2 linked regions of the Drosophila melanogaster genome follow. The protein of the gene in region 2 purifies or fractionates together with the protein of the main gene of each other region. This does not show direct contact. Each region holds a gene or a part of one and is shown on either strand. Other genes may lie near its edges.

Region 1 (5,290 bases), 8.9 Mb from region 2:
TTATTTTTTTCAAGTGTTTTTAAGAATTTTTTTTTTTTTGAATATAAAATATTGCAAGTGAAAGCAGCAGCAACTATTTTTGATTTTAGCAAATTGTGCTGTTTCTCAAAAAGTGTTTATGACAAAGTGCTAGAAAAACCGGAAGGACCACATATATATAATATACAAAAAATTACAGAATTTTCGTATTTTGTGTTTGTTGAGGATCACTTAAGTGCCCCAAAAGGTCATGTGTTTTTCTAAGGATTTTAATCATGCATAGCCAAGTTAAAAGTCTTAAGAGGGAAACTAGTGATGTTGCGTTTTCCAAGGACAACTAAAGTCATTCAAAGGATATTGTTTATCATTTCGAAAATGCATAATGTTTCATGTTTCATTTGTACACCATTTTATGTTTGAATTTGTGTGCTTACTCATTCTTATTTACAAGTGTTGACAAGTTCTAATAATAACATTTCGAAACCACGAAAGGAAAGATTCAAATATCCAGTGTTTTGAAGGATTGAAACTATGTTTTTAAGAAGTTAGTTGCAGTTATAAAGAATGTCAATTCCGAATTAAGTGTATAAATATTTTAGGCAAATTTTTAGTAGCTAGGTAGTGGCTATTTATTGCAACAGGCCCTCAAAAAATAATATGTAACTAATATTGTAATGTGTTTTCTTAAATTGTCACTTGTCCTGAATTTGTGAATTGATTAACAAGTGCCAAAAAAAAAACCCAAAAAAAAAAAAAAAAAAAAAAACTGCAGCTTAGACATCAGATTAGAAATTGCCGACGGAATATCGCAGAGCTCTGTTGAAAATATTCTGAGCGGAATTTTTAGTGCATATTAGAACTCTAAATATTAAATGATATTTCAATGATTTTTTTACTGTTTCTTTTTTATGTCAATTTGGCAATTGCATTGTATTATTTAAAGTTTAAATATTTCCATACTTCAATTTTAAATGTATTTGTATTATACTCAACTAAAACTTTTAAGGTTTTAGTGTGAAAGTAATTGTAATTAAAGATTACAATTTTCGATTTTAAATTTTGTATGAAAATGAATTAAAACGAATTGCCACATTTTTCATTTAGCCTTATTCATGTGCTTTACTACTAATTTTGTGGCATGCACATAAAATCGCACTTTTTTTTAAACCAGTGAATAAACATAATTATTTAAAAATGATAAGTTCATCATTTTTGTTGGAAAATGTATTAAAACTTGTTAGATTTATTAAAGCAAATTTATTGAATTTAATAAAAAATTTAAAAGAATAGTTTCGAACCTTGTTTTTTTTGTTTTGTTGAATTTATCAGTTTTTAATATTTTTCTTGCAAACCATTAAAATCGATCAGATTGCATTCCGTTTTAAGATTGATAAAAATGATAGTTTCAATTTTATTTGAGTGATTTGAGGGCATATATGGCATTATTAAAAATAATGCACATTCAACTAGAGTTCTTGTCCTGCGTATTAATTTGTTGGACCTTTCTTTGTCCTTTTATTTGAACCCCAAAAACTTTCGGGAAACATATGGCAGACGGTTGTGTGAGTGTTTGTGGGTTTTATTTTCTGAATGATATGTTGCTGCACTCGTACAGATTACGCATACGCTGCGTTGTCCACTGCGAAGAGAGAGAGAGAGCGAGCGAGCGAAAAGAGAGAGCGCCGCACCGTGCACTTTCTGCGATTGAGTGAAAGAGAAAAAGTGACTCGCGGTGGGAAACGAGGTGCATTTTGGCTCAGCTTTGCTGCGTTTTTCACCGACGCTGCTCTTTTACGAAGCGCGTGCGGCGCTCTTAGTACAAGCACACACCACTCACACACACACACACACACACACACACATACGTATGGACTACGATGTGCAGGGGCACCCACACATAGGCGAACGGGAATCACTCGGCAATACGAAGCAACGCAGTCGCAGTCGCAGCGCTGCCGCCGCGCTGCCAACGCCAATGCTCTTTGGGTTTTGGGCTTTTGGCCAGGCTTTTTGGTTTTGCAGCTCTGTCGGCTTTGGACTTTCGCAGAGATTTCACACGCGATGCGATTGCAGTTCTTGCAGACACTTTCATACGTTCGTTCGTGTTTATTTTCGTTAGCCTTAGCCGCAAACAGCAAATAAATTACATTTTGCCAAGCGACAAAATATTCAAATATTTTACGAATATTTGTACGGAAAATATTTTGGATTCTTTATCGTTTATTTTTTTTTTCTTCTTTATTTTTGTGCGCGGTTTTTGGAAACACGAATTTCGAGTAATAGGTCCTTTTGCATTCATTTCTGTCCTTCATTCATGAAATTAATTTTTTTTTGAATTTTTTTCAAGTGCTCTGCGTCGGTTTCTAACACTAGTTTTTGTATACTTTTTCCCAGGCATAAACTTAAACACAACAAAAATGTTTTATAAATATATTATTATAAAATAAAAAATTACAAATAAATGAAGTAACAGCGAAAGTTTTTAACAAAGTCAACAACAACAACAACCACACAAAAGAAGCAAGAAAATCCTTAAGCGTAATTTTTTTGTATTTCAACAATGCAACAACCACAACAACTACATCTACAACAGGGGCAACAACTGCAGCAGCAACAACAACCGCAAGAACAACAACATCAACAACAACCACAACAACCAAATGAAACAACAACTCAAGGCGGCTTTGCACGTGTGTGTGTGTGAACAACAACAACAACAACAACAACAACAACAAAAGCGACAACAAGCTAAAAACTTTAGAAAAACTTACAACAACTTTTTTGGACTTGGAGCATTTTTCGAAATCTAAACAGCCTAAAGTAAATACCGAAAAATATCCCGCAATTATTTTGTGTTTTTTTCCCCATCTCAAAAACTACAATTTCATTTCAAATAGAAAAACGCAAACAATTTAAACAAAAAACATGCTCTAAGGTTGTGTTAAAGGAAATTAAACCTATTTTGCACCTTAATTCTTTGATTTCAACAAAATTACAACAATTTTTTCCAAGTGAAAAATTTGTGCGAACCGCAGAAAACAGAAAAGTGGAAATAAACAAAAATCAAGTCAAATTTAATTCAATGCAAACAGCAAGTGCAACAACAACATCAACAACAACAACAACCACAAGAAATTCACCCAAAACATCAACAACAACAAAACCAACAACTGCGGCAAAGGCATCAACAACAACACCAACAACAAGAAGAAGAACGAGAACAAAGTTTTGAAACTGCGGTGTTTGGCGTTTATGGTGAGTTTTTTTTTACTTTTCAAACAATTTTTCAAATCATCGAATCATTTATTTGGCACTTCGTTTGCGATATTATTTTATCAAGTGTTTGCGTGGGTCAAAAATCGAACACGAAGTGCTACTCGATAAGAAAAGTGTTAGGTTTGGATGAATTTTGGCCATAAATGGATTAATAGCAAAAGTGTGAAGTGAGAGGAATGGAAAGTGTTGGACAAAAACTTGTTTGCGATTAATTTTGTCCATAGAAGCCTTGAATAAACTATAACTTTGAATTGCAAAAAAAAAACGGCGTTAATTAAATAAAATATTTGCAAAATTACTAGCCATTGGTGACTTAACTAAAATAAGGTGCTAAACAATTTAACTTTGATAAGAAATACACTTTAGGGTCATTGCTACTATAAATGTATGCTAGATATAATATTTTTGATTATATATATATAATATTTGTATATTATTATTCAGACAGACTTCAGTTATTGCTGATTATAAAGAACTTAATCGTAATGCCTATAGTTAAGTGTGAAGATAAACATAAGTTAGTTGATATAAAAAATGGCAATAAAACACCCAGACGTATACATAACTCTATTCACGAATCAGTTTTGTTACCCTTTCCATATATATATATATATATATATATATATATATTTTTTTTTTATCAACCGCTCTTTTGGCGACGACTGTAGCACTTCCCGTTTGAACCGGATGCGCTTTTGGAAAAATTTGCTGAATGTTATCAAATATGTAAAATGGAAATGCACTTTTCTGGGCCACAACAACTGGCAAAAAATAAAATGCATATATCGACAAAGCAAAAAGAGACAAAAAAAAAAAAATAAAGAAATAAATAGTAAGCCAATCAATAAATTGGCAAAAAGAAAAGTAAGTTAACTAAATGCTTGGTCAGTTTTAGAAGTCGCCAGCGAATAGAATCGGCAAGAAGAAAATTCTCGAACTTCCGGCGCCACCAGAGGCGCCAACTAATCATCGCTTTTTTTTTTTGTTTAGCTTAGTTAATCAGGAAATTGGGCAAAAAAAAAAAAACGCTAAAGAAATTGGAAAACTTTAAGATTCAACTTGAATAGATGACATGTTTTGTTAGCACTATAGAATGTTATAAACGTAGTGTAAGTTATGTTAGATTTTATTTTAAGTATTATAAGCAATATATCTCCTTTATATAGCTACGATTTGAAACGAATATAATTTATTAAGCTTATATAAGTGTTTTGTTCTAAAATTAAAGTGGATTTTTTTTTTTAAGAGAAGTCTGCACTTCATGTAATTAAAAACCCACAACACAAGACCTTAACAAGACGAAACGCACTGTCTAGCTTCTTAGCGCGCCTTATCCTCATTCCCATCGCTGTCTCTCGACTTTATCGCAATTATAAATATTTATAAGAAATGAGTCCATACAAACGAATATCATTCCCATTGCACTTGGTGGGGGGTTTTTGAGCGCCGTTTTAATGGCTTCTTTCGTGTTTTTTTTTTTTTTGTTTCTGTTTTGTTTTTCAAATAGTATTATTTTTTATTATTTTTTGCCATACTGCGCAGACGCAACAAGATTTGCAAAATATTCTAATATCATATAGTATATCATGTTTTATTTTTTGACATTTCCATTTCGTTTAATTTCAGTTACATTTTCGTTTGCAAAAATTCATTACAATTCGCGTAATTGCGTTGCCTTTGTGTGGATATTGTTCGTGTGTTTTTCTTCTCTTTTTTTATGTGCAACAGTTTTCGCTCGTGTGTTTTTTTCTAATTATTTTCCGCGAGTGTGATTGTGTGTGTGTGTGTGTGAGTGTGCCTGTGAGTGCAACTAATGAGCAACTGCCGGTCGACTTGCCAGCGGTTGAAATTATTAACTCATTATGGGGTCTCGGGTGTTTTAAGTGCCTCAAGTCAGCCTGTTTTGTTTCGTTTCGTATTTTTTCTCCTCTTTTTTTGTTGTTGTTTTTTTTTTTAATGGCTTGCGTGCGTTTTTTTTTGTTTGTTTGTGCATCTCTTAATATTTTTTTTTTTTTTTTTTTGTGTGCAGTTGGCG
Region 2 (4,968 bases):
AGAGTGAAGTTGGCGCAGGAACAATGCAGCAACAACAACGCAGGGGGGGGGGATGTTCTTCAGAAGGCTCCACCGACCGAGAAGAAGAAGAGCCAACGGAAAACCTCTACTAACGCCAACATCATGACATTAACATTGCCGCTGCCTCAACGGCAAAGTCACAGTCAAAGCCAAAGTTAGCAACAGGTTTTCTGTGCCTGCCACTTCGGCCTCAGATTCTCAGAGCCGCTCTTTCTCCAATTCTCTCGCGATACACATCGATGCACGGAAATAAAATGAGTTTCAGATAATTGAATTACAAATTCTACCGATTATTTTCAATCAGAGGCCAACATTTTAAAAATGTGTTATTTCTTAAAATTTTAACTTGATATGAAATTAAAAAAAAAAAGGATTAAGTTGATCCTCAGTTTTATGTTATTATTCTATTAAGTTTTGAAGGGGCAGCGCACTAATTTCTTATGGTGCACCTCTCTCACCTGCGAACGAGGCTTCGTTTTCAGTTTCGGACGTGAGTTCGTCTTCGTTTTTACCTTCGGCTCGTTGCTCTCTCTCTCTCTACCTCCGCACACCAGCTCAAAGTTAGCTGTAAATTTGTTACGTCGCCGCAAAAGAGCGTATGCGTGCGTGTATGTATATGAGTGTGTGTGCCACACAGGTGTGCGACGCTCTGAATTCGCCGTCGCTTACATCACTTGCTCTCCATGTGTGTGTGTGTGTCGGTGAAATAACGTTAGTTATCCGTTGGCAGCGCACCTGTGCGGGTTGAAAAGAGATGGAGCTAGGCCTTCTTATTTGCCATTCTAAGCGCATTCTAAGCGATCTTCTCTCACACATACAAACGCATGCGCACAAGGATTTAGGGGAAGGAGAGAGCTGGTGAAAGAGAGAGAGAGAGAATGAGACGCACACCTGAGAGCGAGAAATGCCTGCGTTGCCAACTATTTTGCCGTTTAATTTCGCTTATATGGGTACATTTTTCCATCTTACTTGCCGCTGTTGCTTCTTCTTATTTGGCTCGTTATTTCTTCTTATTGTATTTACCGCGGTTCTCTTTCCATCGTTGTACACAAACACACTCGCACAGATATAATAATGATGAAATTCTTCAAGGGCCACAATCATGCCTCCTTTTTTGGGGTTCTTTTTATCGAAAATCAAATGACTTAGGAAACAAACTAGCCAGAATATTTAATTATAATTAGGAGGATATTTAAAAACATTATTTGCAAACTATTTCATTTAAACAAATCGTTTTAATAATTGATATCTATTGATAGGCTTAAGAACATTTAAGAAAAATATCTATTTAAATTTAGCTTTAATTCAATTATTTTAAGATGTGCTGTAAATACAAAGTCCTTAGTTCGAAAGTACAGTACAAAATTAACAAAAAATGACCGGAACATAAATATTTATATTGAAATTTTTCTAAATTTTCTATTAATTTGCCAATCCAACCAAATTCTAAGTACCACAAGTACAGCTCGCGGTATCGGGTAAAAACGATCTCAGCCGGCAAATGGCCAAGGCGAAGATTCTTGATCATGAGCGTGATCATCATTATCATCACTACCTTGACTCTGAGGAGGGAAAGAGAGGGCGCGTCAGAGAGACAGAGAGAGAGCGCGAAACTGCATGAGAAACGTTATGTGAGCGAAATGAGGCAACGCACACAAAACACTCTCACTCTCTCTCACACAGGTGCGCTTGGTTCGCCGTTTCGCCGCTGTTTTTCTCACCTGAGCAACGGCGAATATCTCGTTATTTTCTGACTCATACGAAAGGGAAGTTTCGCTCTTTCTCTCTCTCTCGATTTACGGTGTTTTAAATTCGCCGTCTAACTGAGTTTGTTGTAGCGGCGAGATCGATCGGTTGACTTTGGTTTGGCCTAACTGACTACCTCGAATACAGTAAGTTGCGAGCCGGCGTTGTGAATGCACGTGTTTTCGCTTAACTCACCTGGGCGAATCCCAAAGACCAAAGCAAACCATTAAACTCACATAAAACAATACAATTTATAAAAACGAAAACACTGTGTTGTGCATCAATCAATATAGTAATATATTGAATTACATCCATACAAAACAGAAACAAAATTTTTTTTGAGTAATATTTTTTACAAGTGCGCTGAATAACACAAATAAATCAAGAACCCAACAAGTGTTTGAAAACCCAAAAAATAAATTGGGAAAAACAAAAATTTCTCATAACCGAATATTTTTTTTTTTTGAAAACTTGGGGGAAAAATCAACACTTTTTTCGACAAGTCACCGAAAACTTAAAAAAAAATTGATTTTTCAAAAAAAGAACCAAGACTCGACACTGCCGAAAAGGCAATATTTTTCAAGTACATTTTTTCGAAGTGTTTTGACAAAACAAAGCAAAATTCTCGAACCAAAGAACAAAATCACGAAAGGACACCCCAAAACAATCCCTCAATTATAATTGACTTGACTTTGACTTGCAAAGCCGAAGAACTTTCAAAAGACATGAAGAGGGCAAAACAGAAGTTAACTTGAGCTCGGCTCATGACCAAATCAAAACTGAAATCAAGCAATTTTTTTTTTTTCAACACAGTGGACGAGCGGCGAACAAACATACACACACAATTGGATTAGTGTTTTGTTTATTTCGGACCCACTGTAACTGTCCCTCGTCCACCTGAAAATACGAAGAAATTCGTCGCCTCCTTGAATTCGTCGCGTGTCGCCGTCGCGTTTCGTTAAATCGCTTATCGTTCATCGCAAATCAACCGATAATCCATCATGCCGAAGATTTTCCTGATCAAAAATCGCCTGCATCAGCAGCAACAGCGCTTGCTTGAATCGCAAAACTTGCTGCAGCACAAGAATCAGGATGATGAGCGCTTGGTGCCGCCCCTCAGTCCAAGTGGGAGTGGTAGCGGCCCCTCGCCAACGCCCACATCCCAACCACCACCGGAACCGCAAGGTCAGGGGCAACAGGTGCTCGGACAGGTGCCCGATTCAGATCAACAGCCACTGAGCCTCACGCGCAAACGATTCCACCATCGTCGTCACTACTTCGGACAATCGCGCCACAGTCTCGATCATCTCAATCAAAATCAGAGCCCGAATCCAAATGCAAATGCAAATCCCAATCAAATACAAAATCCTGCGGAATTGGAAGTCGAATGCGCCACTGGCCAAGTTCAAAATGGTAAGTTGAACTTTTCTAAAACAGAGTCTAAAAATCTTTTCGCTGCCTTATACATAAATACACCTTTAGGAGCGATTAAATTTCCGTTTGCCAAACCGTTGTCACATAAATGCGTTCTGTTACTTGTTTGGAATACTCGAAGCACAAAATATCAAAGAACAACGCAAAGAATTTTAATTTACTTGGATAAATAATTGCTACAAATCTGTCAGTCAGTTTTTTTTTTTTTTTTTGGCCGATGGCAAATCGGCTGGCAATACAATGCGCCATATCTATTGCCTGGAAATCTTTTCAAATTTCAAGCTTCACTTTTGGGCAGCTTTTGTTATTGCTTTTCGCCCACACCATAACGAACTCGTCCCCAGTGTATCTTTGTATCTTTGTATCTATATCTGCCCTGTCTATCTTCCATTCTCCAAAACGGAGCTATGGGTTTACTTCGACATCAATCACTTTCATTGAATTTCGTAAGCGTATTATTTCGTTTTATTTATTTTTTTTTTTTATTTTGCCAAAAAAGCCAAGCAGAGTTCTCATGTCTCTGTTCTGATCTCTGTTTTCTGTTTTCAGTTTTCTTTTTATTTTCTGTCTGTTTCTGTTATATAATCGCCCAGCATGCTTATTAAGTCATTTCGATTTAGGCGGTGGTCTTAGGTTAAAGGTTTAAAATTTTCATAAATGATTAGGCGAGAAGAACTTTCTTCGTTTTCGGGGCGAGTTTTATTAATTAAGTTCTTTTCGATTTTATTTGAAAGTGAATTTCGTTCAGCGTTCTTTTGGCGTTTTTTTTCGCTAAAGTCTTTTGTTTCTAAGCATTTTTTAACTGCCCTTTGTCTGGCCTTAATTATATCTATATTTTTATGCAACCATTATGGCTCGACTTCACTTCAAGAGTAGCTTCTCTCACACGCAGCCTCATAATTTTGCCCCTTACGCAGGCATTATATTTCATGGTTATAGCTTATATATATTATTTTCACGGAGCGCGTAGTTGAGTGCTATATACAACATTTATTAAATTAAATAACATGTTACGTTCTCGGTTCCTCCCGGTTTATCGCCAAGCCAACCAAGTTCCCTTCATCATCTCTATCGCCCATCCACTTAAAAATGTATTATGAACGCTTCCGCTGTATAATTTTTATGAGTTCTGCGGATATTGTAATGGAAGTTATTTGAAGGGAAATCGTTTCGCAACGTTATATTCTCAAAGAAAAAATTTTTAAATTGGATAGAATTACACAGAAGTTGGTGAGCTCATCGGATTCGCATAACTTCATAACTAACACTTTGAAGTTTTAAGTTCCAACTTTGATCAATCTATGCAGGATTTAATATTATTTAGGTCTTGCACTCTAAACATGTGTTCTCATGCTGCTCTGATTTCAAAGAACCCTCTGGTCACACTGCTTGTTCACTTTTTTTTTTTTTTGTTCAATTACCGCTCGCTGTTCGTGTTTTTCTTGGCTTTAGTGGGCTGTGCCCATGGCCAAGAACTTCACACACTTGAGCGCACACTCACACACTAGAGCGAAGCTAGAACGAACGAAAAAAAAAAAATTATATAACTACCAAAGTACAAGGTACTAAAAGCCAGATACAAGAAAAAATCTCCTCTCAACCACGCAAAAGTACAAGTTTTGCCAGAAGATGAAGAACCAAAGCCAAAGCAAAAAGAAACGGAAAAAGAAAAAGAAAAGAGTGCGGAGCAGAAAAAGAACTTCATTTTGTTTGGTTTTGCAGCCTAGACTTGAGCTAAAGTTCCAACTACACACAATGACTAAGAAG

The links.
Region 1: the proteins of ovo (region 2) and mamo purify together in Drosophila melanogaster (affinity purification with western blotting, with the first as the bait; one study listed by BioGRID). This does not show direct contact.

Annotation. Positions count from the first base shown.
Region 1 is NC_004354.4:13,983,158-13,988,447, reverse strand, and holds the start of mamo (maternal gene required for meiosis), read left to right. Parts: upstream 1-2,005; 5' UTR 2,006-2,077; intron 2,078-2,373; 5' UTR 2,374-3,234; intron 3,235-5,290.
Region 2 is NC_004354.4:5,046,363-5,051,330, forward strand, and holds the start of ovo (ovo), read left to right. Parts: upstream 1-1,910; 5' UTR 1,911-2,768; coding exon 2,769-3,180; intron 3,181-4,968. UniProt on the Drosophila melanogaster protein: Transcriptional regulator with essential functions in the germline and soma. Plays an essential role in regulating the formation of apical cell extensions such as denticles and aristae, and initiating cytoskeletal remodeling during epidermal differentiation.